Linked DNA regions of Caenorhabditis elegans. The protein of the gene in region 3 interacts with the protein of the main gene of each other region in a pairwise test. Each region holds a gene or a part of one and is shown on either strand. Other genes may lie near its edges. The genes, in order: Y56A3A.7, C50F4.1, ifb-2 and C54E10.6.

Region 1 (6,306 bases), on a different chromosome or scaffold from region 3:
AATTGGTCAAAATATAGGCTATTTTCGGTTTTTTTTTAAAGTTTGGAACTAAAAAAAACTAAAGATTTTTGTAATTTTGTCAACATTTTGGTATTTATTAGATTTTAAGTACAGTTTCAAAAAATGAATTATTTAGATTAAAAATAATTTCTGGATTTTTTTCAAAATTTTTGGTTTTTTTTGGATTTTTTCAGAATTTTATGAAATTTTTTGGGGATTAAAAACAATTTCTGGATTTTTTTTTTCAAAAATTTTGATTTTTTTTGGAGTTCTTTCAGAATTTTTGGTATTTTTTTGGAATTTACTTTCAAAATTTAGGGGTTTTTTCGAAATTTTTGGATTAAAAAAATACAATTTTAGAATAACAGGATTTTTTTCAGAATTTTTTGAACTAAAAAACAACGATTTTCAAAAGTTTAAAACAAAATTTTTAGGATTTTTTTTTTCAAAAATTTTTGGATTAAAAATACAATTTCTGGATTTTTTTTTAAAGGATTTTTTCAGAACTTTTAGGAATTTTTTTAAAATGAAATTAAGGAATTTTTCTTTGATTTTTTTTGGATTAAAAAACAATTTTTGGAACTTTTTTTTTTAATTTTTGGTTTTTTTTTCAATTTTTTGGACCAAAAAACAACGATTATCAAATTTTTCAAACAAAATTTTTAAAATTTTTTGTCAAAAATTTTTGGATTAAAATTGCAATTTTGGAGTTTTTTGTGGATTTCTTTCATAATTTTTTGAATTTAAAAATTAATTTTTGGAACTTTTGGAATTTTTTTTGATTAAAAAAGAGTTTTGGATTTTTTTCAAAATTTTTGGGATTTTTTATGGATTTTTTATGAAATTTTTTGGATTAAAACGTTCTGGATTTTTTTCAAAAATTTTGGTTTTGTTCGGGATTTTTTACGAATTTTTAGGAATTTTTAAAAGGAAATTAAGGAATTTTTCTTTTCTTTTTTTTGGTTAAAAAAAACAATTTTCGGAATTTTTCTCAAAATTTTTGGGGGTTTTTTAAAAACAAAATTTTCAGAATTTTTGGTTTTTTTTTGGATTTTTTAAAGAATTTTTTTGGAATTTTTTGGAATTGTTTTTGGATTTTTTTTGGATAAAAAACCCATTTTTGGAACTTTTTCAAAATGTTTGGGATTTTTAAAATATATTTTTTGGGATTTTTTTGGAAGAATGTACAACGATTTTTGTAATTTTCTTCCAAAATGAATGGTTTTTTTTTGGAATGTTTTCAAAAATTTTTGCACTAAAAACAACGATTTTTCTATTTTTCCTAGCTTTTTTCATTTTTAAGGTCTAAAATCAAAATTAATGCTAACTTCTCCATTTCTTTCTTAATATTCTCTCGAATTTCCTCTCTTCTCTTCTCCTTTTCCTCATCATTCAAATCAGGCTTCTCCTGAGTCTCCACAATCACTGGAACACGTTGATTATCATCTAAAAGAGCTTCTTCTGCTGCCGGATCGATTTCTCGATTCTCATCAGTTCCCAGTTGAAGTCCTAGTTGAAGACACTGCTTCTGGAGCTCTTTGAGCTCTTTTTCTTGCTTTGTAGTCGTTTTTTTGAGGGCCGCCACTGGAAAAATATATAATTTTTTATTGAAAATTGGAAATTTTTTCCTAAAAAAGAAAAAAAACGCAATTTTGAGAAAAAAATTTTTTTTTCGAAAATTCGGAATTTGTTTTAGAATTTTGTATGAGCCCATGTTCCTTTAAAACTCGTGTAGATTTACGCAGGCCGCGTGTACTCCACGTGGACAACTTTGAATTTTTTTTTTCAACATTTTGAGCAATTTTTCGAAAAATATAGTTTTTGGAAATTTTGAAAAATCAAAAAAAAGTTTTTAAAAAAATTTTAAGATTTTAAAAACTGTGTTATTTTCCGGAAAATCGAATTTTTCGGAATTTTTTTTTTGAAAAATCTGAAAATTTTTAACTTCTGAAAATCCTGTATAAATCACTGTCTCCTTAAAATTCGTGTAGATTTACGGAGGCCGCGTGTACTCCACGTGGACAAGTTTGAACTATTTTTTTTCAACATTTTGAGCAATTTTTCGAAAAATACAATTTTTTTGTTTGAAAAAAATTTGAAAAATCGAGAAAATATTTTTTTCAAAATTTTAAGATTTTAAAAATTGTGTTTTTATTTTGTTTTTAGCTAAAAAGTAAAAAAAATAGCCAAAATTTTAAATTTTTTCCGAAAAAATTTCTTTTATTGAAAAATCTGAAAACTTTCAACTTTTTAAAATCCTGTATAAATCACTGTCTCTTTAAAACTCGTGTAGATTTACGCAGGCTGCGTGTACTCCACGTGGACAAGTTTGACGTTTTTTTTTTTTCAGTTTTCTGCTAAAATGCTTGATTTTTCACCATTTTTCGCAGTTTTTTTTTTGCAAAAAAAATTCGTTTTTCGTAACCAATTTGGTGAAAATTATTACTTTTATTAATTCTCTCCATAACCTCGGCTCGAACTTTCGTCGCTACGTCATCCAAATCCTTTGCCTTTTTGGCGCGAACCTCCATCATAGCGCTCTTCTGAATTGGAATAATATTGATTTTTTGCTCAAAATTCTTTTTTTTTTTTTGCTCAAATTTCCACCAAAACAAACCTTCCTCTTCGTCAACTGAAGCCTCTCGACGAGCTTCTCGTTCAGCTCAGACGCCGCCACCGCGGCCTCGGAGACTTGTTTTAGCTCGAGCAGCGCTTCCTGAAGCTCAGCGATAACCTCACTGTTCGCCTGCTCTTCTGGAGTCTTTTCCGCATTTTCGTCTTCTTCCGTGGCGTCTTCCTCCTGTTTCTCCTTCTGTTCTTTCAGTTTTTGAGCGTCGTCCTCGATTTTTTTCTCGAAATCTTTGGCGATATCGAGGGTGGCTTGTTCGTGAATTCCCTGGAAAAATTTTTTTCATCAAAAACCCCGGAAAACTGGAAAAAAATTCACTTTTATTCATCAATTGTTTAAAAAATAATAAAATAAAGTTTGTCTGAGAGGACTACACTGCGCGGGGGACTAGAAACCCACCTAGTCCCCCACGCCGTGTACTCCTCCTGGACAATCGAACAAAATTATTTTTAATGGAAAATTGTGATTTTTCTCGATTTTTTAAACGAAAATTTGTCGAAAAAAGCAAACTCACGACAATAGTCTTCAAAATATCCATATACTGAGCTTCTTGTGCCGAAATCGAGTCAAACGCGGCCAAAAGTAGCTTCATATCTTCTTTTACAGACTGGAAAATTCAAATTTTCAGTTTAAAAATAAAATATTTCGCACCTCATTCTCCTGTGGCTTTCCGACTCCTAATTCGCGGAGAGCTTGCGCGATTTCAGCCTTTTTGCCACGAATATCCTCGATGGATTGCATGATTTTCTTGCGTCGGGATATCTGGAATTGAGGAAAAAAAAAGTATAATTTCAGCAAATTTCAGCTGTTTAGAATACCAAATTATCATCCATTACTTGTGGAAGTTCGACGGAGCTCATGATTGGATCTGGAAAAATTAAAAGTTAAAAATTAAAAATGAAAAATTGAAATTTGAAATTTTGCAGTTTAAAAAAATCCAAATATAGTCTGAAATTCAGAAAAACCAGAATAGAAGAACGAAAAAATCGGAAAAAAAAACTAGATTTTTCAATTTTGGCTAAATTCCCTCCAAAATGAGAACTGCGACCAATCAGCGATTCGCTCCGCCCATTTTTAAACCAATCAGATGAAGTAGGCGGAGTTTGAAGTTCTTATTTTGAAGTGATTTTAGCCAAAATTGGAAAAAATCGCGTGGGCTTAAACTTAGTTTCAGGCTTAGGCTTAGGCATACACTTAGACTTAGGCTTAAGCTTAGGCGTAGACTTAGATTTAGGCTTAGGCTTAGGCCTAGGCTAAGGATTAAGTTAAAGCTTAGGCGGGGGAAAATAAATTCTCGGAAATTCGAAAAACTCCGGAAAAATTGGAAATTCCGAAGTCGGGTCAAAAAAACTAATAAAAATGGCCGAAAAGGGACTAAAAAATACAAAATTAAAAAAAATAGTGTAAAAATATTTGACAGGAGCTCCAAGAATCAAAAATGTTCAGCAGCTCGCCAAAATTCGAAAAGTACACACACACACACACAAAACTAAGCACACTGAAATAGAATGTCAATAGAAGAGGCGAAACATACACACACACGGACACACTATACTTCCACAATTGATCGAACCGTAGGCGACGACTGTACGGACGGAAAACCTATGCCTCTCTTTCTCTCACCGCACTGTACAATCTCTCGGCCGAAATTAGTCAGGCAAAAAGTTGGCGGGGTGATTCATAGCGGAGGAAGGCAACGCCCTATTTGGGTTGGTGTGGAACGGGGGGAGGGGAAGGTCCTCCGAGAGGTAATAGATATGGATTGAATTGAATATTGAATTAGGGGTGTTGATTTTAACGAGAGCCACTGATACCGAGAGTGTAATTAGAAATAAAATTCTATTAAATTGCCTCAAAATTACAAAATGATCTCTAAATCTGAAAACTTGTGTCTGAAAATTATGTGCTAATGGGTTTATTCAAGTAATGTTGCAAAATGTATTAAAATACATGTATTTTATGTATTTATTACAATTGATACGGTATTTTTCTACACTTTTTAATTTTTCGACACTATTTCGGTAACCCCATAAATCCTGTTGATTTTGCATGCAGCGACACACTTTTTTATCAGTAGCATTTCATATATTTAATCCTTTTTTTTAAGTTAGGCTAGTCGTTAGCCAAAAATTGTCAAAAAAAAATCACACCGGTCGTGGTCGCTCAAATTTTAGCTCAAAAAGTGGCAACCTTAATACAAAAAAAAAAAAACTAATGTCACTGATTTTAGTTCAATTTTATCCTGAATTTCTTGAATAAAAATGAAAGAAACACGATGAAATGTTTTCTTTCATTAAGTTTCTGATTGAGAACAACAATTTTATAAAAATTGTTTAATTTGTCCGGCTAATCCGGCAAATTTGCCGCAAAAATTCTATAGTTCCCTAAAAGTTCGACGACATTTTCTAAACTACTACTAACTATAGTCTTAAACGCCACACTATCTATTAAAGGTCAGTGTTATTAGTTTTAATGATACGAAATTTATACTCATTTCGTTCTATAAGCAGAACTACACCTGATTATGAGGAATACAATGATAAGAAATTCAAATTTTTTTTGCGTTATACATAGGAAATAAATAGGCTTGTATATTTTTTTCAGCTTTGCACCAAAAAAAATTTAGAGTGACTGAATCATGTTTTAACTCCCGTTCTAATGAAAAATGTGAAGACCAGGCATTTAAGTTGTCGGGAACTTAGAAAAAATAAACGAATAAGCAGAATTTCCAACAAAAAAAAACGATCAGGAATTTAAAATTATTTTTGGTTTTGGCCGGAGATTCCGGAAACGAGGTTCGCACGTGTCTCATTTCGGCTTGATCTACATAAAGCTAAAAAAAATGCGGGAGTTGTGAGGCAGAGTTCTCAACTGATTTCGCATGGTTAAGAACGTGTTGACGTCACATTTTTTGGGCGAAAAATTCCCGCATTTTTTGTAGATCAAACCGTGATGGGACAGCCTGGCAACACACACGGGGTGTCAGAAAGTCTCATTGCGGTTTGATCTACAAAAAATGCGGGAACTTTTTCCCAGAAAATTTGTGACGTAAGCACACTGTTAACCATGCGAAATCAGTTGAGATGTCTACGTCTCACCTCCCACATTTTTCGTAGATCAAAGCGAAAAGGGGCCGTCTGACTCCACGTGAACACATGGGTTCAAAAAATTCCACAATCTCAGAGGTGTTGAAAGAAGCGCAAATGAGCAACTCCAATTCACTCTTCCCATTCTATTATTTACACTCTTCCCCCGCCCGCTCATTTGACTGTCCTCCTCCAGAAGAAGATAACAACTCCTTTCTTCCCAAATTCCTTCTCCAGTTGTACAATTTAACGACCAGGTACCGATAGTGTTTGTGCACTGGCTTATACGCATTTCGTCACAGAAAAGCTTGAAAACTTGTTTTTTTCCAAAAAAAAATTGGAAAACAAAAATACGTAATTTATGGGGAACAACACAAAATTTTGTTTATTGCGTATTGCGCAACATATTTTACGCGCAAAATATCTCGAGGCGAAAACTACAGTAATTCTTTAAATGACTACTGTAGAGTTACTGTAGTGTCGATTTACGAGCTCGAATTCAAATATTCTGAGAAACTTTTGGCGGAAAATCAACATTTCTTAGAAAACTTTTTCGGCGGGAAATTCAAAATTCTGAGAATATTTTGGCGG
Region 2 (6,416 bases), on a different chromosome or scaffold from region 3:
GATATGCTTCATTGAATTGTCATCAACTGCAAGAACTGAATAGAAAAGATGATTTAGAATCAGCTTTCTACGTTATCGTTGAAATGATCACTGGACAACTTCCATGGAAAGGTCTTCCAGATGGTGCTGCAGTTGCACGAGTCAAGCAACAAAGTCGTCACCCATCAGCAATCGCTCTTTTCTTGAGAGCACCTTGTCCGATGGAAGAACTTCGTGAAGTGATGATTCTCATTGATTCCTACAATTATTTCACAGCTCCCGATTATGTTAATATCTGCAACGTATGGTTTTATTTACAATTGTTAAGCATTGTTTCTGTAAAATCCTAATATTTTAGATTCTCCGTCGGGCAATGCGCAGAAGTCCTCAACCGGAACATCCTTATGATTGGGAACAGGGAGGAACTAATTCACTTGGAGACGTGTAACTACATCCTCTCGATATTCTCGAATAAAGATTGTGACAATTACTATACATTCAAATACTCTGAAAAGATTTTATTTTCAAAGAAATGTGCGAATTTATGGTGTGATATTTTTCTATCATTAATTTCTTGATCAACTGCCAAAAGATGTTTGGATACAAACATCTCTTCAAAATCTGCTATAGATGTACCAAGTGCTGAAACTCTTCATCTGAAACTTTCGGATGCTGCATTTTTTGTTCTATTTTCAACATATTTTCAATATAATTATTTACAATATTATTTACAATAAGCATTTTATTGTAAACCGTACGCTGAGTAGCCCCAAGTTTCTAAAACATATATCAGATCTTGAATAACGAGATGTCTGACAACTGATGATTCATGAACTACCCACATAACATTATCTCCTCCCGCCTGACCTAACTGTCCTGTTAACAAACTTTCGTTCCTATTTATTCTTCTTGTTTCTATCCCTCTTATTCAGTGTATTGTATTTATGATCTATTATGTGTACATTTTTCTTTTTTCTTCAACTTTTTCCACGTCTCTTCGCGAGCGTAAATAAATAAATTAAGTAATTAATATCTATTTACAATATAATTTATAAATAGTATATTGCTATTTATATATTGTAATATGAACATCTTCTTACATAATTTAATTTGAAAGAAATGTTCTGATTTTCTCGAAGACACCCAATCCCTTTTTTAAGCAAGCTTCAAGTGTTTTCTCACACGTCATACATTTATTATTTTGTCGTCCGTATATCTACGTTGTCAAGAGATGCATCTTTCCGTTCTTGTATTGAAGATTTATTCATTCGTCACCAAGAAAAAACGACCAATCTTTATTTTTGAATTCGGTCATTTATTCTCGATTCTTTGAAAAAAAAAGCAAATACGTTATCTTATTCTTCAATCATCATTCTCTTTTTGTGAGAGAAATGGGTGCTCATTATCCGAAATGTAGTTTCCAGTCAAGAAATCTACAGTATCATTCAACGCTGTCTCCCATCGACGTGCAGCATCTTGTTTGACGTCATCCGAACCTTCACTCAGTGTAAAAAGTAGAGACTCGATTCTGGAAATGATTAGAAATTTTATTTAATGGGACTAGTGTTCTGAAAATTTGGGGCAACCTAAAATGCCTTGAAAAATTATTTTCTTGAAAATCCGGTAAAACACTATTTTATAAAAAATATCAAAAGTACGACAACTTTTTGGTCTTTTAAAACATTTGAAAATTTGAAACCTAAACTCACCCATTGATTAGAACTGTAGGTTGATATTCCTGGAACCATCTTTTCAAATCATGCAGTTGATACTTTGGTGGGTAATAGTCAACAAGTGCATAAAAATAGACTTGAAATATCTAAAATTAAAACAAATTACATCAAAAACATCTGGTGCTCTGCCGTTCCCATAAGACTCTCGAACCCACTTTCATGAACTTTTTTCGTCGAATGTCGACATCTGCAGATGAAACAATCAAATTTGCTAAATCCTCCACTGGATTTCCAAGATGAATGTTCTAAATTAATTAGGTTTTCGTTGTTGAAAGATCAAAAGTAAAAATTATAGTAGAACGCAGTTTTTTCTATTTTAAAAATAATTACGTACTTCCCATTCTGTGATCTCTACCAAATTCCCATCCTCATCAAATCTGCAAATCTCAGCTGTCAATCTTCCATGTGCGATAACATTATGTTTTTCCTTTTCATCTGCATCTTCATCTTTCCAATCTTCCAAGTAATGAGTCAAAATTCCAACTTTTTCAATAACTGAGGATGGATTCATGAAGTAGTCTGCAACTTCTGTAGTAGTTACTGCTGTTTCCAACACTTCAATCAATTCTTTTTGAATTTTCTTTTTGAATGATATGATGTTTCCATAATTTTCTTGCACATTGAGTGAGAATTGTTTATTGATAGTTTTTGAGTTGACAGCGTGTAACTTTGCAATCTGTGAGGCAACTTGTTCCAATTCTGGTAATCCCAATTTGGTACGAACACTTCCTTTCTTCAAAAATTGAGTAACATAGACAGAATGTTTGTTTTCATCTTCCGTCACAACAAACGATCGATTAAAATGTGCACTTGGAATAGGAATCTTCTCAAACGTTGATATCTCATGCCAGAAAAGTGAATTGTAGTAGGCGGCAAGCTTGCTTCCTTCCTCTAGTTTCACTATAACATCTTGATCATCTCTCACCAAATGCACTCGGAAGAGGCCCTCCGCTGTCTAAAACCAGAAAACGATGATATTCTAGAAGGGCGGGAGAAAGAAATTGGCCTCATTCAAAGGTCATTCAGTATCACATTTTGGCACATTTCTTTCGAATTTGGAACAATTTCGTAGAAAGTTTAAATCTAATCCTAATACTATACTTCCAATATTTTAATTATTTTTTTTTGTTTCAACCGTATTGAGTTCAATTTTGAAAAACTTGTTTATTTAACAATATTTCCGTTTTCTTATCAGTAAAACAGGCAGTTAAAAATTTCCACAAAAAACGTCATTAGAAAATGAAACGACTTGAACGAAATTTCCTTATAACCGGAATAATCTTTGTGCTCATTTAACTCCCAATATAATACACTCCATCCAAAAACACAAACATGAAGTATTAATTTTAAAGAGGTAATATGGAATTAAAAAACATGAAAGCTTTGTACGAAGACAAAACATTGGAAAGTAATTCGTACTAGCACCTTTAAAAGTGAAGTTCAAAGATAATTTCACAAGCAACATTTTCGAAAATTTTTGAAATTAAACATTAAAAATTGTCTAAAAATATCTTAATCTAGCGTTGACGGTTTTTTCTAATCGTTGAAAATAATAGTCAGATTAAGAGAGTCGACAATGTAACGTATACGATTTTGGCATCATATTTGCAATATTTAAAAAATTTGCAAAATCCTTTTAAAATTTGAGCCATTAAAAAAACTAACAGTAATAGGAGTTACAATAATTTTATAGTACTTGATATCTGTAGTACATTTAAATTTTGAGTTAAAAGTTTTTGAGATTTTTGCAATGCCCTCAAATAGTTCCTATTGGTTTAATATATGAGTTTTCAACTATGAACTAATTTATAAAGTTACCTCTAACTCCACGGTTGTGACACCATTGATAGTGACAGTAGGATTAAGTTCTTTAACTCGAGACAATCCAAGTTCCTTTGCAATTAATGCAGTGATGAACATAATAACTTCTCTGTGAATCAACCAACAATGCCAACACTGATATGTCCTTCTTCTGAAAATGCAAAGAAAAAAGGGAGGAGAGGGAGCAGGTGGACGAGGTCTTGTTATCAGTGATAAAAAATGCGGGAGAAAAAAGCGAAGAGAATCGAAACTAATGACACTGTCCCGTTTATGACTTTGATGATGGGCGACGACAATACTTGCATATTTTGTGTTTCGTAGAGCAAATAACATTTGCAAACACATTTTATAGCAATGAAAAAGAAGAGGGAGTGAGTCACGAGCTGAAATTTTGAACGAAGATCATAGGTGGTAGGTACTTTGCTAATGTGGTAACCATTTGAAACTGATATTTATCCGAAAATTATGAAGTGGGCGGCACAATTCTGGACGTAGGATATCGGATATCAAACTAGTGGGTGGCTGAAATGAAGACGAATTTAAAATTTAAAGTTCACGTTCGAAGACATATAGGACATCTGCCAAGTTGGCACTACATGTATCACATTAAGTTTTCAGAAAAATTGCGATATTTTCTCTCTAGGCTTGCTTCATGTAATCGAGTTTGAAATCTTCTTTCATATTTGTTTCTGGTTTCAATCTTACTGGCTAATATTATTATCAAATCAGTAATAATTTGGCGAATTTTGAGCTAGGTTTATATTCAATTTATACTGGAATAATTATTTTGAATCGTAATGTTGTTTGTGTAACGGTTTGTAAGCTTATAATTTGGAAAATCCTTGAAATTTTTCGTTGGGTAAATCCGCGCTAATTTTTTACCCCGCGCAAAAAAGTTCAAAAGTTCAGAATTGAGGCCTTTCCATTTTACATGTGATTTCCTAAACTCTAAAAATAATTCCAAAATTAATTTTAAGGAAATTTGAAAACAATAACCTCAGGACACATTTAAATTATTGTTTTCATCCGTATAGAATTGAAAAAAATCATTTTCATAAATACCTATTTTCGAATTAACGTTTTGTTTTCGTGCGTACTTTAATGTTCTTTCAATAGCCCATTTCATCCTTGCTCCGGTTGAGTTGACGAACGCCTTCAAAATGAGCCATAATTGAGAGCATTACTTTTTGATGCATTTTATTTTCCATTAAATGTTGTTTCTCTTTTTGTTGCGTTGTGCAGAACAATAAAAATACAAAACAATAATTTAACTTTCGATCCAATTAAAATTATTTTTTTTAGAAAACCAAAAATATTGATTCGATATAACGCTGTCTTAAAAAAAAATCTTATGAACAAAAACTTCATCTGAATTTCTTTTTCGTATTGTTTTGTTAAGAAACTGAAAAAAAGTTGTTTTTTTCCAAATCGAGGCAACTCTTGTTTTATCAATATCAGTTCATAATCTCTTCCCTTTTGTAAGTGGTAAATAAGAGTTTCTGTTTGTTTTATAGTATTAAATCACTCATAAATTGATACTAAGTAATCTTCCTTTAAAACTATTTTTGATGCCGCATTGAATATTTTTTATTCTGAATATTTCAGAAAAAAAGTTGCCATCTAAAAATATATCTAGTATTTTTAGGAACTTTAAGAAGTGCGACTTTGAAATGTGAATGATTTCAGACTTATCATGAAAAAGTGCTTAACTCGGTAGAATTTCCAGCCTGTTAATCAAAAAGTCACGCATCATTTGACCCATCCGATTGTTTGATTTTAGCCACTCCCTTTCTAGCATTTTAAAAATGCTTCATGACACTCAACTGACTCAATACGTCAACCCATTTCCTTCTCCTCCCACTCAACAAGTCAAAACAATTTTTGTGCATCACGAACAACCACCTCCTTGTTTGGTAACATCATGACGTTTGAAATGCTTTCACCTTTACAAATTTGCATGACACTCTCTTTGAATACTTTGGGTGTTTAAACCTAAACAGCTTATATTCTTTGAGAAGGCATCAATTGGTCATTCTTCAAATTCCTTGCTCCTCTAAGCATTGTTTCCTGTTGCAAAAACCGTGAGCAGCAGAATACAGTTAATGTTTTATTTGATAAAATTATTGCAGTCTAATTATTTCTTTATCAAAATTACTATTTGAAAAATTACTACAAAATTACTATCCTGTTTTTAGAATAATTATCATTTGGTAGTTACAAAACAATCAATAATTCTTTTTTCAATTATATTGGTTGTAATTGAACTGATGTATTATCCGAACAAATAAATAAATCTTAGGTTATAACTAAAAATATACTAAACCAACATTTTTTTGAAGTACAGATACTACATAAGTTCTATATAAACTAAAATAAAGACTACGTATAATTGTACTTTAATCGAAAATGTGTTCATCTTCAGTATACGTTCAACTATAGTTTTAGTTTTTATACGTTCCTCTATGTTCCGCCCATTACTCTCGAAGTCTTAAAAGTTTTTTAATCTTTGTCTCCGTACATATATCCTTATATCTCAGCGTGGGTGGAGATATTTGGATATTCTTCTCAAGAATCACCAACAAAGATTAATTTCCTTTTTGTTCTTTTTAAGAAATGTCAGCTCCCCTCAGTTCCTTATTGACATTGAATTATGACCTTACATTTTTGCACCTTCAGCCATAATTTTTATTCTTTCAGCCTTTGTATATAATTTCGCTATTGGTTTAAAATCATTTACTTTACAGATGAAACTTCTCGTGTTGTGCATTCTTATCACAATATCTTCATCGCTTTTTATCGAAGATTCAAGAATTAATGAGATCGAGTGTAAGTACTTCAAAGAATCATGAAACTTAAACGAATGCATTCCCATTGGGTTGTTTT
Region 3 (7,716 bases):
TAATGAGCCGGCCCAACCATTGATCGGCCCCGTGGAAAATGAGGAGGGAAAAGGAATCACCCACTAAAAAATAAAGGTTCGCTTGTGTCAAAATGTGAGGTATGAATCGACCCATACGTTTCTTTATTCCAAGAGGTTCCCAGCCTCGTACAATGTTGGTTTGACGGGGCTCAAGTGTGGTTGACAGCTCACGGGTGGTTTGGAAAGGATCCGTTGCCACGGCTTTCTGCAACGTGTCCAAATCCAATTTATGGGGTCTCAGAGTCTTCGAGAGAAAATTCGTCCTTCTCGAAGCTTTGGAACCAATTGCGTTTGATATTATTGTAGAGGACATGTGAATCATAAACATTCTTGAGGAGACTTTCCGAATCCTTCATCGTGGTATGAGAGAGAAAGAGGTACATCAAACCATATCGGATGTGGATCGCACTAGGGACATACATCGTTGGTTAACTAACTTCAGCCCAGAGGGAAGGGAATGAGGTGTTGCTTACAATGCAAACCCAGTTATAAAGACTTCCGGTCCAACCTAATATTAAGAACGTTTAACTGGTAGAAAAGTTTCATTATTTCATACAAAAGCGCATCCACCTGGTTCTGCCGTTCGAATTTGGTATTATAGTTCTGGATTGCATTTTCCCTTAGTGCTGAAAAATATATGTACAGCTTGCAACGTGTTCAATCATTTCCAAAAATTCTGTAGAATGTATTTTAATGTAGTCTCAGTCAAGAGCGAGTCACGACAACTCGGTTCAAAACCACTCCTAATTTTAATTATTATTACTATTATAAAAAACCTTCGAAAACCATAACTAAATGGCTTAAAACAATTGTCGAAAAAAAAAGCGAAAAAAATTTTTTTTAGAAATGGTTTTAGACCGAGTTATCGTGACCCACTTTTGACCAAGAAATTTTTTTTGGGAAGTATCGTGATAAGTACACTTCTTTTAATCATCAATGATTTTGAACTAAAACAATATTGAACAATTTATTTCAAAAAACAATTGGATTGGAATGTAGCAAGTATGTACGTCGAATGATTTTGGGAGTGAAGACAGCAAGGAAAGGATTCAATGGGCATTTCAGAATAAATTTAAATTCATCGAAAAAGAAATCGATTAGATGATGGAGATTTCTTAACGGGAAGAAGCGACCGTCGTCTGGATGTGCGAAGCCTTCTCAATTCCGTGACTATTGTACAAGAATGTTTCAACTTGTCCTCCTTGTCCCCATGATGGGTGAGATTCCATCACAATTGAGTCTGGTGGTGAGTTAATTCCTCCTGAATTGCGTCCGTAGATCTGTAATATTCCGGTTTCAATATGATATCTAATTTTATAATAATTAATACCTTAAGATGTCCGTGTTGTTGAATAACTAAGTGAGATGGGAGACGGAAAACGAAGGCTTGAACTCCATCAATAACACGACGGATTTCAAAGTTGCTTACATCTTCGGCCTGCAATTTTCCAATTTTTCATGTTCAAAATAAAAATAAAGATCTAAACTCACAACTGATCCACTGGTGTTTTCAAGAATGATGTACTTTCCTTGTGGATCGCACTCAACGATGCTCACATTTCCCTTAGCGTGTCTCTTGAATGAGGAACGAGTTTGAACCTCTCCAGAGTCCCAGTGATCTTGCTCGACTGGTACCAATCTGTAGAATTTAATATAACAATTTAAAATTAACGGGGATAGATTAAGCTGAAAGTGCATGTTTTCAGCTAAAAGCCTTGAGATTTGCTGACTAACAAAAATTGTTAGCCAAGAAAATGATAAATAGGTGATGTGAAAAGTAAGCAGTGTGTTGAGATAAGGAAGTGCGTGAAAAAGAGAAAAAGTGCAAGTGAAAGAGCATGAATTGTGAAAGCAATTAGCTATAAACTACTGTATCACTACGAGTAACCTTTGATCTGAAACTAGTACATTGGTACCTCTGCCAATTTGATGTTGAGATGATCTATGAAAACTATACTATGAATAACTAATCTACAATCTAGGATACCTTAAAGTTCCTTGCGGATACACTCTGAAAGGTATTACATATAATATATCTTGATTCTATTAAAGATTCCTACTCAGGATATTGCTGATATTGATGACTGTCAGAGTATTGCTGATCATTTAAAACAACGGGAGTGGAATCCCCTTCTGTTCTGGAAGTCAACTAGGAAATAAAACTAGATTCTAAATATCTACGTGTGCAGTATGTTAATGTCTATGAAGCGGTTATAGCTACCGAACCTTGTAGTCTCCTGCTGGGCGACAACGACCCCCTGTCCAACATGAGTGAATCTGTGAAAGTAAGGAAATGATAAAATGGAAGAATGAGACAATCAATTAAAGTATATGTTGCTCTTTTTGAGAGATATTTTTGTTACTTATATTACCTTCCTTCCTCGGACTCGACAAGCTTTCTGTAGATGGCAATCTCAGTATCCAAAGTTTGTTTGGTGTTAAGAAGAGCTTGAAGTTCAGCAATCAAAGTCTGGCAGTCTTCACGCATAAATCGGAGGGCATTGTCTCTCTTGTGAAGCTCTGATTCGTAAGCTCTTTGATCTTCTCCGAGTTGAATCTGGAGTGTGTTGGCTTCTCTCTCCAAAGCAGAGTTACGGGCTTCGAGCTCGCTGAGCTTGGCTCGCAATGTGGTGATGCTCTCGTTCATCTTTCTGATCTCCTCTTGACGGAAAACGGCAGCCTCGTTCTTGGAGACGATTGATGATTCGACGGCGCTAATCTTGCTCTGGAAGATTGTCTCAAGATCAACTCTGGTGGTTTGGATGATCTTGTCGTATTCAGCCTTGATTTCTCTGAAATAATTTAAATTAGACAATAAAACTATATCATTTTTTTTGAATCCAACCTGATAGCAAGAGCCAATTCATTCTTGAAGAACTCTCTTGTGTCGGCTGGAGCTTGAGCAAGAAGAGTGCGAAGCTCAGTGATTTCTTGAGAGTGGATTCTTCCCAAGAATTCCAGCTCAATCTTGAGGTCATCTTCCTCAGCTTGAAGGCGGCGGCGATCAACAATTGCGGCGTCAAGCTCATCCTTGGCGGCAGCCAATTGAAGATAGAGTTGATCTTGTTCAGCATAAAGTCTCTTTTCCTCGTCCAAAATGGCGGCATAGCGGGACTTGTTTGTGTCAAGCTCAGCTTGTGCTTGTGAAATAGCTCCTCCCCAAGTGGTCTTCTCACGCTCAACTTCACGACGGGCCTCTTCATATCTGAAATATTTGCCATTAGAATGGAATATGCAAATAAATTGTTACCTGTGTCTGTAGTCATTCAAATCATCTCTCAATCTGTCGACCTTAACTTCAACTCCAATAGTTCCAGAATGAGCTTCTGAGATCTCACGGCGAACTTTGACCAACGAATCGTTGAATTTGAACTACAAAACGTTGAGTTTATTATTCTGATGCAACATTATTAACCCCTCAAGATCAATTTCAATTAATTTTATTGGCAATCTTAACACACACATACACACCCATTTCCTCCAGAGCACTACTTGTCATCTTATCAGTGCCATTTTCAGTTTCTCTTTTAAATTCCTTACGCCTGCACATTTGGCAACGGGCGCTTTGTTTGAGAAGAATTGATATTATCTGATAAGAGAGAAATTGTGTCAACAACTAAAAGTGTTTCAGATTCTCCTGTAATTTCGGGGCACAAACCTTGATCTGTCCGATGTCATTTCCAAGTGATCCTCGGAGGGTGTCCAATTCAATCACAAGCTCCTTGTTACGATCCTCAAGTTGACGGACACGGCTGATGTAAACTTCAAGGCGAGAGTTCAACTGCTGCATCTCTTGCTTCTCGCGCTCGGCAGAGGCAACGAACTCCTCAGCGGCATGGCCGGCTGAGACACCTGAAATATTATGTAAACTGTGTTCCGATGTTTAAGCAGTGCTCCAAGAAGGACCATATTTTTTATTGTTATAAACTAAATTTTGTGAAAGTGTCTTATTGTGAAGGGTTTGGAAAAAGCAATACAAACTCATTTTTTAAAAATTAATTTAGTACGAATATGTAAAACAAAAGTCTGAATAAACCTCTGTTTTCCAAATTTTTTCACAATATTAAAATAGAAATTTTAAAAAATAGAGTTAGTTACAGCTAATGTTGTACTTTGAGATTTAAGATATACAATTTTCCGTGTTATATACCGTTTTTCCTATTAGTCTTGCACTCCCACTGCTTCATTTTGACAGCTCATATTAATTGTTGTAGGCTTCATCAAAATTGTTTAATTATAACAATGTAGAGTGATTTTAGTGTTGAAAATTATTTGATGAAATAATAACAATCGAGATATGATTTGTCAAAGTAATGCAAAGCAGGAGCAGAGTAAATTGGTTAAATGTGGCATATTTATTCTTTTTTTTTCACAATTTGGGCTAGCAATCAGAAAATTCCTACTTATAAGAGTGATCTATCTTGTCATAAACAATCTGATTTTTCACTGAAAAGTATTATATGCTACCATCTAGGAACAGGCCATTTTGCAGTTTGTCCCTACGCTGCAGTTCTCGTCTCAATTCTTTATTGATATCGTGAATTAAAAGTTAAGATCGAGTTTAATTTGTCGAAACTTATGGTTTTATTTAAACATCAGTTATTTTAACTTAAGCCCATAATCTAGAGAAACTGCTAGGATTAGTCGGCAATGTGTGAAAGGAGTTCACAACGGTGTCAATAAAGCCGACAAAGAGATTTGAAACAAAGAAAAAGATTGAGACAATGGAGGAGATCAATTTCAGACAAACTAGTGTCACCATATTATGGATTCCTCGGAGAAAACTCTCGAGGTCGTGTGACTGTTGGAAATTTGAAGAAAAGTGCTTACCTCCGTGTGATGAGGAGGATGTAGTTGTGGTGGTTCTGTGCATCGAATAACTAACCGCCGACATGATGAAGTCGCTAAAATTTTGAAAATAAAACAAAAGATGTTAATAACAAAAGAAGATAAAAATAAATAGAATAAGAAAACAATGTTATTTTCACACTTTCAGCAGTTAAAAAACCAACACCAATAATAAACGTTCAATCTTCAAAAAAATAAAGAGTCTTAACACCAAACCGTACAAAACGCGGAGTAGTAGGTTTGATTTTACAATGGCATTTTGAGAGAGCAAAGAAAGAGGGTTATCAGTTGGCAATGCTCGATTCCACTCTCTTTTATGGTGACTTATCAGTCCGAGTTTAGAGATGGAAAACGGAGGGGAGGGGGTGAAAAGAAGAAAAAAAGAAACTACTCTTTCTTACATTCTTTGTATTTATGAAACAAAATGACATTTGACTGGGAATGATGAGGAAGTTGACATTTGAAAAAAGGTGTTAAGAACCGCAAAGTCTGAAACTTTTTACTAGAAACTATGACGAATGAAATGTTAATAAGGTTACAACAGAACATAATCGGCAACAATGGAATATTTCAGAACTGAAACATTTTGTCTTCTAGATTCCTTTCAATTTAATTTTTAAGGATTTACAAATTTATCTGGATTTAATTGACAGAATATTTTCGCTTGTATTGTCATATTCAAAAATGTTTAATTTTAAAAATTCTAGAATTTTGAAGATGTGAAGGTTCAATCAAAATCTCTTCATCAATTCAATTCTCTCTTAAACTGTAATTCAAAAGCTACAAGTATTTCCTGAAAAAACTTTGTTTACTCTTGTTGTCTACTGAACTTGAGGTGTCTTATCTTAAAAAGACCATCTGTGTTATTTTTCACAAAAAAACAGCTACAGTAATTCCTTAAAAGTTCATCGCAATAATTTGATAACAACAAAATAGGTGAATCTTGCAACAGTGAACGAATTCCCTTGTAGGCACAAAAAACTCGAAGGTTACCTACGCGCTGTCTTGTACCTCTAGATTTTGTGCCAAATTGCAGACGAATATAACTAGGTAGGTAGGAAGACCTACCTACCGGCGGAGCGTAACTTTTCAAGTGTTCTGGTTAACATTTTATTCTGATTAAAGAGTTTTGTGAGTCATAAAACCCTTGCTAAAAAGTTCTTAAAAATTGTGCATTTTCGAAATTGAAAAAGCATCGAATTGAAACTATGATTGGAATTCCAAAATAATTCGAAACATCGCTTTAATTATTTAACCTTTAAAAAACTAAAAATCAACCACACCTCTTCTTTTTCAAATATTAAAGTCCGCGAGCTGCTAATCAGCATGAATTGGAATTTTGAAATTTTTGGAAATACAGTGTTTTGTTTTTTTAATACAATTCTTCCGTTTATGCTTCTTTCTCATTTTTGTGGTCAATTACTTTATAAAATTAGCCAAAGTATGAATACCAAAAAACAGGATGTTTAAAGAATTTTGCTTTTGGTATTCTCTACAACTCCATACATCTTGCTCAGTCCTCACGACTAGTCTTTGTACTTTCATTCAAACTTCATTTATCGTGTTCTTCATTTCGCATATTCTCTAACATTTGTTTACAGATGTGTGGCAGGCTTGGTTGGAACTGATAAAACAGCGTACTCCAATTCCTAGTAGAGCTCAAGTTTCCTTATCGTTTTTAACCGATAAAACGCGGACGCAAAAACGAAGACATTTTTGTGTTTTTGAGTGGAATGGAATGTGGTCTAAATGAGGGAGAAATGGCATTGAGTCATTAAAAATGACAGATGATGAGGGAAGGAAGCATATAACTTATGGAACCTTCCTAGGGGGAGTAAATGACTCAGAGTTCGTTTAATCTGAAAACATATTAGGAGAGAACTAACATTCTATAGTGATGAAGGGCTGAATAAACGTTACAGTAATGATTCTGGCCAAGTGTGCGTTGAATCAGAGTCTTGCAACATTTTTGGAGCTAGTTAGGCAACTATAATGGATAACACGATTTCCCTATGGAAGCTTTTTGACATTTCAAACGGAACTTTCAAAAATCTTAAACAGTTTTGAAAAGTATAGGTAAATCATTCAACCTCGTACAACTCGTTTCTCCAAAAATGATAACAGAAGTACTCTGATGTATGTTGGTGTAACTTTCAAAATTGTAGATCATGTTCAAATTTAAAATAAAAATAGAACCTGTTATTTTGGAGAAACTCAAGAATTTGAAGTTTACCGCAAACTTCTTGCCCCTCAACCACACTAATACCCTAGTCTTATTCAAACTTCCAGTACTCTTCTAAAAAATTTTGCAAACACCTGACTCACTAGTTACAGTAATCATACAGTAATCATGTACCATATCTACCTTGAATTTATACTTCTTGTTACTTCTCGCTTTTTTTCGTTGTTGGTCGCCTATTTCATTCAAGTTTGTGTCCTTGTGCACCTAAATTTTTTCTCGAATGAATGTTGACCAGATTGAACGTTTTTTTTGCTCCACCATAAATTTTAAAATGTCATTTTCATTTACACTTCCACACTTTTTGGCACTTTTCCAACCCTCGCAGCACTAATCCGACTTACACCTAAAACCTATCATCTCCTTTTTTCATTTTTTGTGCATTGTGGTGGTAAATACCAAAGACTCAGTTGTAGTACGCAAAGGTTTCTGATGATAAGCTTTTAGGAAAAAACGAGTGAGGAATATTATATTTCGGCGTCAAACAATTTGCGGCCGGGAACTTGCGATTTCTTCCGTTTGTTACTTCGCGGTTTATTATCGTTTTGTTAGATAAGTTGTGAATTGCACGATGGCACGGAAGAAATTGTGTGCAAGGTGAAAGGAAT
Region 4 (4,665 bases), on a different chromosome or scaffold from region 3:
GCTTTTGGCGCAGAAGGCCGCGGGTTCGAGTCCCAGAGAGTGGCTACAGGTTTTTCTAGGCGAAAAATTTGAATTTTTGGGTTTTAAATTGCCTAAAACTTAATGGAACAGTGAAATTCATAAAATCCACGAAATTATTTTGCAAGTTATTTTTGGAATTTATGTGTTTTTCTCAAAACACTCAGGCTTCTACAAATAATTTCAAATAAAAACCATAAAAATTAGGCCAAACCCTGGTAAACTCGAGAATTTCGATCTTCAAGTAGATTTTTTTCAATTTTAAAGTTGAAAATTCAATTTTCACGCCTAGAAAAACCTATATACCCTTCCGGGGGTTCGAACCTGTCCCCTATTGCTCTATAGCCAAACCGTTTACCCACTGCGCCATGCAGCTTGCGCGCGCGGTGCTCTTACAGCGCAGTGGGTAAGAGGCTTGTTTTTGGCGCAGATGGTCGGGGGTTCGGATCCACGAGAGTGACAATAGGTTTTTCTAGGCGAGAAATCTGAATTTTTAGATCTCAAAGTTTTTAAAGCTTATTTTTGAACTGAATTTTGACAAAAGGTGTTTAATTTTTCGGTTTTTTGGATGGAAAAATGTTAAGGTAATATGTTGTTGTTGCTTTTCATTAACTTCTCCGAATTCTCACGGAAGCAATTTTCATTTACATTTCATTTCCAAGTATCAAAGTTTGAGAATTTTTATTTATTCCAGTAACTTTAGGTATCTAAAACTTTGAAAACTCAATGATAAGTCTTTCAAATTTCAAAAACTGTTGAAAAAATGTAGTTCCGCGATTTTTAAAAATTATGCTCAAATGGCTCAGTGGGATTTTCGACGACTACCAATCTGAAGGCCGGGGTTCGAGTCCGCACTGTGGCACAATTTTTTTCTGTGTTTTTTTTTAAATTTGTCTTTGGTATATCTACTCTCCTAAACTCGAATTTCATAGTCGCAAGCTCTGAAAATGTTCGGTTTTTGTTGAAACTGAAAAAATTGAAATATGCAAAATAAATATTTATAGTCAAAAAAAAAGTAAATTTTCAATCTTTTCTCTGGAAAATCGTTCTAATATTGTGTGTCTTCCTTTTCTTATTGTCCGCTCTCAAATCGTCCAGCAGTTTTTTGATAGTCTCTTTCTGTTTTGAGAGCTCATTGAGCACATGTGTGAATTCTGACTCCATTTCATCGTTGGGTGGTGCTGGAATTTTTTTTGATTCAAATGTTCTGATGAAGAATAGGAAAAAAAATAAAAATTGTAAATTTTTCAAACATTTTTTTTTTCGAAATTTCAAAAAAAAATTTTTTTTTTGATCAAAATTTTCAAAATTTTAATTTTTAGAAAAAAGTTTAAAATCATCCATTTTCAGTCTATTTTAACCCATTTCTTTTCAAAAATTGCTCAAAAACTCACATTTCAGGCTGCCAGCTTCTTCCTTTTTCATGCTCTTCACTTTTTCAGCTTTCTCCACAATTTCAGGCTTCTCCTGCTCCTCTGTGACGTCATCAGATTTAATTTTTTTAGTTGCTGGCTCCATATCTTCCTCTGCATCTTTTTCGTTTTCATGTGCACGTTTTATGGAGATTTCAGACATTTTTGGGCTGAAAATACAGGAAGTTTTGTGAAAATCCAGCAAAATTCTGGCGAAAACTCGTCAAATTTTCAGTAAATCAATACAAAAGTGAGGAATGAGCACTCTGCGGACAGCAGATGGCTTGGGATTCAGCCTCCGAGGGAGAGAGTTAGAGAGCATGCGGAGACGCAGACGGTGCGAGACGGGGAGAAGTGCAACACAGCCGTTGGTGTCAGCTGGTGGCTTGGTTCGGAAGGAGAACTAATTTATTTACGGGAAATTAAATTTATGGTTGTGAAGACCCAAAGATTGGTGGAATTTAAATGAAAAGTTCGAAAAAAAAATCAGCAAACCCGATTTCGTGTCGATTTTCAGAGTTTTAAACTAAAAAATTCAAAAATCTCGTCTAGAAAAACCTGTAAACCAGTTCGGGGCTCGAACCTGTGACCTATTTCACCGAAGTCAAGCCACCTACCCACTGCGCCACATGGGAACCGCGTGGCAAAAGTGGCGCACCGCGCGCCTGCCAGCATGGCTCAGTGGGTAAGCGGCTCGTCTCTGGAAAAATAGGTCGCAGGTTCGAACCCCGGTTGGGGTATACAGGTTTTTCTAGGTGAGAAATTCGAATTTTTGAATTTGAAATTGCCAAACTCAACGCAAAACCTCGTTTTTTGGAAAATTAAAAGTTAAAAAAAAACCAAATTTTCCGCATTTTTTGCTGCACATCACTTTTCTCAAAAAAAAATTTGTTTTTTGCTTTCTTTTAGTTAAAAATTTGTCATTTTCCCATGTAACTCGAAAATATAGCCAGAGAAAAGAAAATAATGTGTGAAACCCCCCGGAAGCTGAAATTGTCACGTTTTTCTGGAAACTTCTTGTCAGGCTTCCGATATTTTTCTAGGATTATTATGCAGCATAGGCTAAAAGAGCGAAAATCTCAGAATTTTTTTTTTTTTCCAAAAAAAAAATTGGATTTCTTTGTGTTCTTTGTGTGGTTTTTAAGTGGAAAATTAGATTTTCAGGAAGGGAAATTGCATAAAAATTGGAGTTAGCATATTTTTGTGGGTTTTTAAGCAAAAATCCTGAAATTAAAAAAAAATTGAATTTTCAAATTTTCCAAAAAAAATTTTTTTCGAAATTTTCAAAATTTCCAGAATTTTTTTTTTTCGCAATCTTTAGAAAAAATGTATTTTTTTTGTTTGAATAAAAGCTATATTTACGTCATTTTTAAGCCACCAAAGCAGCAAAAAATGTGTATAATTGCGTGTTAGCTTATTATTTGTTACTTTTTAGGAATAATTCATGTTTCCTAATTTTTCCCACCGAGCACATTCAATTTCCTGCATTTTCCAGATTTTTAGCACAGCTGTTTATGAAAATTGAGAAAAATTTTGCGAAAAAATTAAAAATTCCCACTAATCCCTTTGTTTTTCACTTTCAAGCACTCTTCCGGATATTTTTCAGTTTTTTCCTAGTTTTCAAGCATTGGTGTACATTTGACTATTTTTCTAAAATATGAAAACTAAAATTGACTTCAAAAATTCTTTTTTTTAGAAAAAAAGAAGAAATAATGGCTAAAAACTCCAATTTTCAGCTCACAAGCCATGAAAATTCCAAATTCTTACCTAGAAAAAACTAAACAGCCTACCTGAGAATCGAACCAGTGACCTATTTTTCCATAGCCAAGCCTCTTACTCACTTAGCCATGCGTGCGCGCGCGCAATTCCGGAGAAGTAGCCAGGAAGGAAGGGGTTGACGCAGTGGATAACAGGCTTGCCTTTGGGGAAATAGGTCACAGGTTCAAACCCCTGCTAGGGTATATATTTTTTTCTAAGTGAGAAAGTAAAAAACGCTGAGTAAAAAAATTCATTGAAAAAAATTATTTGCAAATATGAAGGTTTTGCAGAGATCATAACATTTAGTTCGATTTGCATATTGTAAAAAAATTGTTGAAACTGTCAAAAGTATACAGTTTTAACTCAAAATTCCACCTTCCACGTGGATTTTCTAAGTTTAAAAGTAAACAATTCGATTTCTCCGCCTAAAAAAATATATGTACCCCCGATGGGATTCGAACCTGTGGCCTATTTTACCAAAGGTAAGCCTCTTAGCCACTGCGCCATGCTGCTAGGCGCGCGCTGCGCCTTTTTTGCCACGCGATTCCCATATGGCGCAGTAGGTAAGTGGCTTGGCTTTGGTGAAATAGGGCACAGGTTCGACCCCCTGATAGGGTATATAGGTTTTTCTAGGCAAGGAATTCGAATTTTCTAATCACAAATCTTGATTTACAGCCACAAATTCAGTTTTTTGAATAGTTTTTTCTCAAATTTCTCAAATTTTTAGTCTAAACATTAAAATTTCAGCATGTCGATCTCAGTCCCACTGATCTCCTTCATTGACCAATCAATGCTCACCGATGAGCAAACCTATCTCGACGAATGGCAAAACTCGTCGCAAATCCTCTTCTACTCGGTACTTTTCGTTGGTTTTTTCACGCTACTTATCATATTTCTAAGCTTTTTGTATATTCACGGCAAAACTGGCAAAAATGTGCATTTTCTGCCATTTTTCAGTGCGATTTTAGCTGGGAACTTTGTACTTTTGGGTACTTTGGTGGCAAGTGTAATTGTGGAGAATAGCGATGTGATTTATGGTGAGTTTTGCGATTCTTTGAGTGAAAAACTAAGAAAATAAGGTAAAAACGGTGTCTAGTTAAACAAAAATTAGGAAAAAACCAGAAAATTTGGTTAAATTTGGTGGAAAATTAATTTTCCACCAAGCGGAATTTCGGAGCGACGTAGTTTTTTACAGACACAATTCCTGGCGTCTGGGTATGCAAAATGACCGCGTTTTCTGTGAATTCATCGTCATGCTTTATTCACTGGACTTGGGTGGCAATGTATGCAGATGTGAGTTTTTAAAAAAATTGGGAAAAAAAATTTTGAATAAAAAATTCCAAAAAAGACATTTTTTTTCTAAAATTTCTTTTTCAGAACTTTATTGTAAAACTAATTTTCAGCGTTTTTGCTACATTTTCTTTCCGTTCCGCTTCCGTCGACACTCGAAATTCCGCACCAAATGCATTTTGTGCAC

What was found.
Region 1: the proteins of ifb-2 (region 3) and Y56A3A.7 interact in a two-hybrid assay, tested with the Caenorhabditis elegans proteins (one large-scale study listed by BioGRID).
Region 2: the proteins of ifb-2 (region 3) and C50F4.1 interact in a two-hybrid assay, tested with the Caenorhabditis elegans proteins (one large-scale study listed by BioGRID).
Region 4: the proteins of ifb-2 (region 3) and C54E10.6 interact in a two-hybrid assay, tested with the Caenorhabditis elegans proteins (one large-scale study listed by BioGRID).

The regions. Positions count from the first base shown.
Region 1 is NC_003281.10:11,943,521-11,949,826, forward strand, and holds the start of Y56A3A.7 (Homeobox protein cut-like), read right to left. Parts: upstream 3,500-6,306; 5' UTR 3,490-3,499; coding exon 3,448-3,489; intron 3,392-3,447; coding exon 3,281-3,391; intron 3,237-3,280; coding exon 3,144-3,236; intron 2,897-3,143; coding exon 2,618-2,896; intron 2,544-2,617; coding exon 2,447-2,543; intron 1,585-2,446; coding exon 1,329-1,584; intron 1-1,328.
Region 2 is NC_003283.11:9,524,061-9,530,476, reverse strand, and holds C50F4.1 (CHK kinase-like domain-containing protein), read right to left. Parts: upstream 3,685-6,416; 5' UTR 3,633-3,684; coding exon 3,531-3,632; intron 2,668-3,530; coding exon 2,047-2,667; intron 1,958-2,046; coding exon 1,868-1,957; intron 1,799-1,867; coding exon 1,689-1,798; intron 1,508-1,688; coding exon 1,342-1,507; 3' UTR 1,227-1,341; downstream 1-1,226. Other genes in the region: C50F4.10 (non-specific serine/threonine protein kinase), read left to right, coding at 1-281, 338-427; C50F4.9 (Cocaine- and amphetamine-regulated transcript protein), read left to right, coding at 6,278-6,359.
Region 3 is NC_003280.10:5,747,399-5,755,114, reverse strand, and holds ifb-2 (Intermediate filament protein ifb-2), read right to left. Parts: upstream 4,916-7,716; coding exon 4,852-4,915; intron 3,874-4,851; coding exon 3,680-3,873; intron 3,394-3,679; coding exon 3,272-3,393; intron 3,227-3,271; coding exon 2,867-3,226; intron 2,814-2,866; coding exon 2,394-2,813; intron 2,299-2,393; coding exon 2,248-2,298; intron 2,160-2,247; coding exon 2,082-2,159; intron 2,033-2,081; coding exon 2,009-2,032; intron 1,661-2,008; coding exon 1,513-1,660; intron 1,460-1,512; coding exon 1,352-1,459; intron 1,302-1,351; coding exon 1,137-1,301; downstream 1-1,136. Other genes in the region: F10C1.8 (LTD domain-containing protein), read right to left, coding at 592-635. UniProt on the Caenorhabditis elegans protein: Cytoplasmic intermediate filaments provide mechanical strength to cells. Not essential protein.
Region 4 is NC_003283.11:18,807,069-18,811,733, forward strand, and holds C54E10.6 (Protein MNN4-like), read right to left. Parts: upstream 1,662-4,665; 5' UTR 1,594-1,661; coding exon 1,413-1,593; intron 1,200-1,412; coding exon 1,042-1,199; 3' UTR 1,001-1,041; downstream 1-1,000. Other genes in the region: C54E10.3 (G-protein coupled receptors family 1 profile domain-containing protein), read left to right, coding at 3,937-4,225, 4,384-4,481, 4,592-4,665.